Linked DNA regions of Mus musculus: region 1 is reported to be linked to region 2. The links are microRNA targets in miRTarBase. Many come from high-throughput screens and were not tested one by one. Region 2 holds a microRNA gene; the other region holds the end of a gene's coding sequence.

Region 1 (4,000 bases), not on the chromosome of region 2:
ATATCTTGTATCCATAATAGCTAAGCCACAAATACTTAGGTGTTCAGAACTAACAAACTTAATGCCAAGCAAGGTTGAACTGATGATTAATAGAAAAAAAAAGCCAAAGAATTAAATTTCCATGTTCAGCTAACTTCCTCTAAGGTCTCTCTTATTTGGAAAGACAATGGAAAATTGACTTCTAATAAAAAAGACAGATGATGAGTATTTCAGGACGGTCTTTTCTTATTTCAGAGCATGGTCCTTCATCCTTGTTCTTTACATGATAAAGGGGCAGAAGGCGAAGAAGAACCTTTGTACCTTCCTGCTCTCAACTTCCCAAGGAGATTAGAACACAACCCTAGCTGGGCCTTGAAAACCAGTAAGTTTTCCTCTTTCAGAACCAATTCCCTTACACTACATTTGCCTTGGAAATAGTCCTTACCTTCAGGATGAGGGGAAAAAACAGAGGGGCACAGAGCACCTTACACACTATACAAGATCGTTGCATGAGAAAATGGCTCTATCTAAGCACAATTTTAAAAAGTTACATATAACCTATAAGCTATTTCAACCAGAGGAGTCTTCTACATGCTGGTTTCCTTTGGAATAATGGAAACATAAATAAGTAACAGTTGACTTAATTAGGCATTACTAAGAGTTAGATAAATTATATAGACTTTTAGAAAAACATTTTCAGAAATGCTAACGATATACCAATAAAACAAGGACTCTAAGTAGAATTTTTAAAACTGGGTTCCTGGTAAATCTTTTTAGAAGCTAGCATGTGGGGGTAGGGGTGAAGCCCAAGATACACACAGATTTTATACAAGGGGTACTTCAATGGTCAGTTTTTCAACAAGACTATCATCAAAGTCTTTTGATGTCTTGTTCATATTTTCAATACTAAGAACCATCCTTTAAGGTATTAATGTAAGATAAATAATGCTTTATCATATGGAGAGGAATTCCAAGACTCCAGGGCACCGAGGTAGGGATGACAGTAGGTATAGGAGGGACAGGATGAAGTACCATGGAAAGGAAAGGGACAAGAGCTCCCGGTACCGTGTACTGGGCAACAGGCTTAGCAGAGCTGTTCAATGGACCACCTTCCATTTCTTAGGAATCAATACTGTGGGAGAAATGGGGCTGACTATGGGCCAGACTCTTAGAGTCCCATCAGATCTGAGAATGCAGCATCCTTCCAGAGGCCTCAGGGAAGACACATTTTTAGCCTATCCCCAAAGGTAGACAGCATTACACTAGGGCAGGCTGGGATTCTGACTCACAAAAGACTGCTTCAGTTATTTTTCAAGATAAATGATGTAGACAGAGTAGTCCACAGCTTTAAAAGTGCCTTTGTGATCTGATTATCTATAAGCATGTCCAGAAGCTCTAGAGCCAACACTAGTGAGTCCTGTAACAGGAACAGTGGCAGAGCTAATGCTAAGGGTAGTCCTAGACAATTCTCCATGTCAGAAACTCTGCAGCAAGGTACCATTCAATGTATATTAGATACTCTACATAAGTACACACAAACATTCTATACATATAGCACACACTGTGGACAAACACATTTAGACATGTTAACTGTTCAGCTACTGATGCTCTAAGATGATGCTCAAGACTCCAAGGTCTTGGTACCTTTCCCTTCAGGGATTACAAATACTTAGGCAAAAAGCAGACAGTGATAGTTCACCTTCTAGAAGAAAGGCAACTTGCTTGGGGAATATTGGATTCACTAGGATGCTATGAAATAGTTCAGGTATATGGAGCCACAATGTTAACTATCATATTCGCTTCATGGTTCTGAGATATAAATTAAATCACTGCCTTTACTTAAACAAGATAGAAGTTTAGGGAAGTTTTTCCAATAGTGTGGCAAAATACCATGAAGCAAGCAGCTACCGTATTGGAGAGAAGTGTTACTATTCCGGGGCACAAGCAAGGTGGGCATGTACAGAGGTGAAAGAAGTACAGGCTAACACACAGTCCTGTGACTAAATGCTAGTACATCCTAACGAGATGTCTCTATAAACTACCGGGATTTTTTAACAGGCTTACTCTAACTTACTAGAATCATGCTATTCATGCAAGAGCAGCTGATTCTCTGGTCATAGTACCTTCAACTAACCAAGTCGAAATAGAGGAAATATTTAAGGAGAATAAAGAATATCTAAATGTCATCCTGTTAGTTTTTGAAGATATTTTGATGGGAAGATAGTAGTTTTAGAGAATACAGTTTCAAGGCTGGAAACTGGACAGTTTTCAGCCACAGAGGAAGTTCACCTTTTACGCCTTTTTCTTCCTCTACAGACAATACTCTACTTAATACTTTAAATTGTAAAGGGACTGCTTTGACTGTAAAGTGAAACCATTTTGAATGCAGGAAAAAAATAAGATTAAATGTATACAAGTAATTCCAGGAGCAATCTTAATAGTGGCATAGCAAGACCGCTGTAGAGGTGGAGATGAGAATAAGCTAAGACGCTGCTCATACATCAGACCCCTCCATCCTCGGTCACTGTGATCAGACTGATTTCATAGCCCGTCTGATGGCCTGATCTTGATGAAGAACTGCATCTGTGTTGCTCCTTATTTGTCTTGATATAGAAAAGAAAGAGAAGAGTATGTGTGGGGGAAGGTGGTATTCATTTCCAACATTGTTTTGTTTCAACCAGGACATGATCTATGCCTGTACATCTATGTTAAATGAATCTATTCCTGGATGGAAAGGTATCAATCACAGAGATGATTTTGATTCCTAGTCTAGATTCCATGGGAGTGAGGTAACATTTCTATAGAAGACCATACATCCTACTGCTACAGTTCCAAAGAGCTGATTACTGCCACCAGCCTTTAGAAAACAAAAGTGGCTCGGGATCAAGCCATCCTCAGGCTCCCTTCAAGCAAGATGACTCCACTTCTGAATTCCCTTGCATGGCTGGAATGGAATGCACACCTGAGACAAACTCCTGTGCCTCCCTAAGGTCTCCAGTCCTGTCATCCTCGTGCTCCCTTTTGTCCTGTGTCCAGCACCAACAACAGGTGCCAGGAAGAACGCAGAAGTGTCCTATCTTGGGACACCTCGACTCCCAGCGCTGCCATTTTCATGTGAGCAACTATGAACTTTCAACTTCACCTCCGTGACTGGGCAGGATTTCACATGTAAAGTCTAGGATTTACTAAAAGCACAATGCTTGTCCAGTTATGGGTTTCACAATGGATTAAAAATTTAAACCTAAAAAAAAATACAACAACTGATTGGTAATACACAAAATAACTGTATAGAAGTGCAAATAAGAGAAAGCCGAAGAGAAAGGATCTGTAGCCCTCCTCCTCCTCCTCACAAAAGGTGCATTAGTTATAAAGTTGTCCAAATCATCAAAGCAAAGGAACTCAAGAGCAAAGACACCTGTACAGAAACTAACAAAAATATATAATAGAAAAGGTTACTAATGCACCGTTTAGTCACAGACTGTTTTTTAAATATATTCACGGATTACCAGAAAGATCTTGAAAAACCCTATTTTGTTCCATGACCAGCACCTCCTGGCCGCGGATGGATTCTAAGTAACTTTTTGCTTAATGCCCGGTGTTTCAGGTCGGTGGTCTTTTCTCTCTGACACGTTGCGCTTGACCTTGGCAGTGACTGGAGATGCATCTGGGTTGAGGGAGGGACTTGAGTGTGACTTCTTCAGTCCCACGGGCTCATTTCCATCGGTAGTCAGGAGCTCTTTGCCTCCTTCTTTCAGAACGCTGACATAAATCTCATAACGGGTTTTCTAAAGGCAAAATCAGAGAAGTGTGGTCAGTACAGTTTACAATTACATGTGTGTAGCACACCTAGCATGTTCTTACACATGACATCATACGTTTTTGAATATTTGACTTTATCCCAAGCTGACAAAATACTTCTGTACCCATAACTGTGAAACGATGACTGCCTCATTTATTCAAGTAAGAAACTAACCTACAATTTCCATTAGTATTTATTCTAGATTCGGAAGGAATACCAACG
Region 2 (4,560 bases):
TACAGCTCGCGATCTACTACTGTGCTTCAGGGACAACCCCGGCCTATCTCTGCCCAGCGACTTTATGCCAGGGAGGCCACTCAGGTAAGTGACAGTGGATGAGGGAGACGGACGTAGAAATGCGAGTTGCCAGTTCCCACTAGCCTGCGACCGACAGGGGTCTCTCTCTTCGACCCAGTCACCTGGTGGCAGTTCTGTCACTGAAAGTAGGGGAAAGGGCACGCCAGGGTGCCCTAGTGAGAAAGTAATGGAACATGCACCAAACGCACTTCCTAGAGCTAGCGCTTCCTGCACACCTTTTAAGACCCATCTCCAGCCTAACTGCTCTGCCCTTCCCTCCAGGCAGTTCTGGACAAGCCAGAAACCCTCTCCTCTGATGCTTCCACCAGAGAAAAACCAGCCAGGGCAGTAAGTGACTGGAAACTGGACTGACACTTAAAAACCAGGAGTAGAATCACCCCAGGCACCCACCTAAGATCCTTTCCTTCCTTGCCTAGGAATCGAAGTCCTTTGCTGTGGGGATGTTCAAAGGCCAGCTTACCATTGATCAGGTGTTCCCATACCCATCTGGTAAGTAAAGGCTTAGTCAGTCACTGACAGTGTGGGCAGGGGAGCCCTCTCTGCCTGACTAGCCTGCTCTTCTCTCCCATTATACAGTGCTCAGTGAAGAACAGGCACAATTTCTCAAAGAGCTGGTGGGACCAGTGGCCCGGTTCTTTGAGGTAAGGGATGACCAGAGCTCAGCCCCTCCTGGGCTAAGTAAGATGCTAAGGAGCTTAAAGGAGCCTCTGAATATGAGATTCTTCCTATTCCTTGCTCAGGAAGTGAATGACCCTGCCAAGAACGACGCCTTGGAGAAGGTGGAGGACGACACTTTGCAGGGACTCAAGGAACTGGGGGCATTTGGCCTGCAAGTACCCAGCGAGCTGGGTGGTTTGGGCCTCTCTAATACCCAGGTGAGAGGATCCCCCTGGTTAACATTCCACAGTGCTCCAGTTTTGGTAGACTCACCACTAGGGCCAAGCAAGTAGCCAGAGTAGTGTCTACCTGCCTGCCCTTTTTCTCACACATTTTCCCCTGAAACATGATCTGTGTGCAGCCCACTAGGACCGTGGACCTAACTGTGGTTCCCAGGTCTTTGGGGACTGTGTGAGGCAACACAGCAGGCAACCTTCCCATCAAGACCAAGGGCAGCTGGGCACAGTGGCACTCATCTTTAATCCCAGCATGGAGGATGGAGGCAGAGGCGGGCGGATCTCGAGTTCAAGGCCAGCATGGTCTACAGAGGGAGTTTCAGGACAGTCAGGGAAACCCACAAAGTTTCAGGCTAGCTGGAGCTACAAAATGAAACTGCCTCAAAAGGGGGGGGGGGGATTATCTAAGCCCTTTGATGTTCCTGCTCCTGTCTCCTTAGGAAAGACTCCAGGGTTTCATGCTAGAGAAGCAGCCTACCTGGGAGCCCCATGGCCAGCCTCCCTGTGCCCTGTCCAAACCCACTCCACTCCCCATGCTCAGAGTAGAGATGCTCCAAGCCCCAGGCCAGGTCTGCCCTGCTGCCCATTCTTGTTGAGGACAAGTTCAGTGCAGCCAGCTACAATCCCAGATGCCTCCTTTCCCTCCAGTATGCTCGCTTGGCAGAGATTGTGGGCATGCATGACCTTGGTGTTAGCGTTACCCTGGGAGCTCATCAGAGCATCGGTTTCAAAGGCATCTTGCTCTATGGCACAAAGGCCCAGAGAGAAAAATACCTTCCCAGAGTGGCATCTGGTAAGGCAACCTTAAGAGACCCAGGGGTAAGGAGTGTGACACTGCTCACGGTGTTACAAGGAACTGCCTGGGGATGAGGGGGTGCAACTCTGGTGGTCAGGATCCCCAGTGAGCCCGTTCTCTCCCCCACAGGGCAGGCTTTGGCTGCTTTCTGCCTAACAGAGCCCTCGAGTGGATCCGATGTAGCCTCCATCCGAAGCTCAGCCATACCCAGCCCCTGTGGAAAATATTACACTCTCAATGGGAGCAAGATCTGGATCAGGCAATCTTCCGTTTCTCTTCTACCCTTCAGCCCAGTGGCCTGACCCTGCTGCTCTAAACCCTATACTAACCACCTCACTCTTCCACAGTAATGGGGGCCTGGCTGACATTTTCACTGTCTTTGCCAAGACGCCAATTAAAGATGCAGCCACGGGGGCCGTGAAAGAGAAGATCACAGCTTTTGTAGTGGAAAGGAGCTTCGGAGGGGTTACCCAGTGAGTATGGGGCAAAACAGAATCAAGGATGGGGACAGCACTGGGCTCTCAAGAGCAAATAGTCAATACAGGCCACGCTGGGGCTATCTCTGTACAAGAGGCACCCACAGGAGGTGAGCAGTTTTGTTTCCACTGGGGGAACACAGGCTAACAGGCCATAGCTAGATATCCGTAGCCCCTGGGGCACATAGGCAGTGCCCTGTATCCTTTTTATAGTCTGGGGAGTTCTCCCCTGATCATGAGACCCGAAAAGGCCGTTTTCCCCCACAGCAACCTGTTCATACCTCAACTTTCCTGCCCTGCCTTTTCAGTGGGCTCCCTGAAAAGAAGATGGGCATCAAAGCATCTAACACGTCAGAGGTGTACTTTGATGGAGTGAAGGTGCCATCAGAGAATGTGCTAGGAGAGGTGGGAGATGGCTTCAAGGTTGCTGTCAACATCCTCAACAACGGAAGATTCGGGATGGCTGCAACCCTCGCAGGCACCATGAAATCCCTCATTGCCAAGGCGGTGAGTCCCAGCCCAGTCCCTAGCTAGCACATGTCCCTGACTGCCTCAGAGCGCCGACACACACACATGCACACTCGACCATCGGCACAGTTAGGCCTCCAGCCCGTCCAGGTGGAAACTGAAGAACCACAGTGGGGTAACATGCGCCCTCTTGCAGGTTGATCATGCTACTAATCGTACCCAGTTTGGGGACAAAATTCACAACTTTGGGGTGATCCAGGAAAAGCTGGCTCGGATGGCTATTCTGCAGTATGTGACTGAGGTAAGGGCCTCCTGGGCCCCTTCCCTGGAGCCCTATGGCTTTCTTCACAGTTGGGTCAGACTACAACCCCCAGCAGCACCTGGGGCAGTGGGTCTCCAGCTTTACACCAATGCCCTAGGGGATGCGAGGAGGCATAGTCAGTTCTCTTCTGGAGGGTGGTGCTGCTCTGCTAAATGCTGCCCAGATGCACCAAACACGACTTTTAACCCACCCCTTTACAAAGTCGGAAGCCTCGAAGCCCCTGATATACCAGAGGGTCACATATTGGACATATTTGACCTGACCAGGAGGCTAAAGTGAATTCAAGGGTTGGAGGAGTAGATCAGCACTGGTCTTGAAGGTCTGAGCATTAGCCATTCTGTCTGATGCAGCCCTTCCCTGTTGTCTTCCCCATGTCCCGACCATGCTCCCTTAGTCCATGGCTTACATGCTGAGTGCCAACATGGACCAGGGATTCAAAGACTTCCAGATAGAAGCCGCCATCAGCAAAATCTTTTGCTCGGTGAGGACCCAGGTGTGATGGGAGGGCGGAGTCCAGATTAGGACCTCAGCTCAAAAATCCAACTCATCTGGTTCTCTGTCCTCAGGAGGCGGCCTGGAAAGTGGCAGATGAGTGCATCCAAATAATGGGGGGCATGGGCTTCATGAAGGTACAGAGTATTCCTCGGCAGGGGGGGGCATCTGTTCAGAGTGGACAGGCACATCTCAACAGAGGTTTCTGTGTCTTCCTGCGTGCCAGGAACCAGGGGTGGAGCGTGTGCTCCGAGATATTCGAATCTTCCGGATCTTTGAAGGGGCAAATGACATTCTTCGACTGTTTGTGGCTCTGCAAGGCTGTATGGTAAGAGGAAGGAGGATGAGAGAGAGCAGCTGGGGAGGACACTGAGTCCTCACTGTCGCCGTCCCCCTTCTCTCCACAGGACAAAGGAAAGGAACTCACTGGGCTGGGCAATGCCCTGAAGAATCCTTTTGGAAACGTTGGCCTCCTGATGGGAGAAGCAGGCAAACAGCTGAGACGGTACCTCATGGGCCGGGGCCAGGGTCAGAGTCAGGGTCAAACAAGATGGGAGGCCGCAACTGACCAGTCACTCTTCCATCTCCTCTCAGGAGGACAGGAATCGGCAGTGGTTTGAGTCTGTCAGGGATTGTCCACCCAGAGTTAAGTCGCAGTGGTGAACTGGTGAGTGAGCCTTAAAGCAGAGCCTGCGGTGGCTGTGCGCTGCCTTCCTCTCCTGAGCTCTGTCTGTGACTCTTGTCTCTTCAGGCAGTGCAGGCTCTGGATCAATTTGCCACCGTGGTGGAGGCCAAGCTGGTGAAACACAAGAAAGGGATTGTCAGTGAGTGAGCTCTGCAACCCCCTTCCCTCCCTGATTCCCTCCCTCCGACTAACAGCCCCACCCTCATCTACCTGACAGACGAGCAGTTCCTGCTGCAGCGACTGGCGGACGGCGCCATTGACCTCTATGCCATGGTGGTGGTTCTGTCCAGGTAAGGCGGCAGCGAGGGACGCTTGGCAGGCTAGAGCCACAGAGGAGCTGGGCCAAC

Evidence for each region. The annotated mature microRNA mmu-miR-324-3p reads CCACUGCCCCAGGUGCUGCU and lies in region 2 at 3,087-3,106, opposite strand. An mRNA with a match to its seed (bases 2 to 7 or 8) in the 3' UTR can be bound and repressed. Matches are read on the target gene's strand: a 7mer-m8 pairs with bases 2 to 8, a 7mer-A1 pairs with bases 2 to 7 and ends in A, and an 8mer does both.
Region 1: the mRNA of Psd3 is a reported target of mmu-miR-324-3p. Seed matches in the 3' UTR shown: 8mer at 1,806-1,813.

Annotation. Positions count from the first base shown.
Region 1 is chr8:67,693,424-67,697,423 of GRCm38, forward strand. It overlaps Psd3 (pleckstrin and Sec7 domain containing 3), which reads right to left. Exons shown (of 16, transcript NM_177698.4): 16 at 1-3,764. The coding sequence ends at 3,549. Among named protein-coding and RNA genes, the nearest start is that of Gm32888, 170 kb to the right of the region's middle.
Region 2 is chr11:70,010,641-70,015,200 of GRCm38, reverse strand. It overlaps Mir324 (microRNA 324), which reads right to left and starts at 3,158; the gene lies at 3,070-3,158. Acadvl (acyl-Coenzyme A dehydrogenase, very long chain) reads left to right here. Exons shown (of 20, transcript NM_017366.3): 2 at 6-84; 3 at 343-408; 4 at 498-570; 5 at 658-722; 6 at 822-956; 7 at 1,623-1,767; 8 at 1,900-2,029; 9 at 2,118-2,243; 10 at 2,555-2,753; 11 at 2,911-3,015; 12 at 3,431-3,517; 13 at 3,603-3,665; 14 at 3,755-3,856; 15 at 3,936-4,033; 3 more.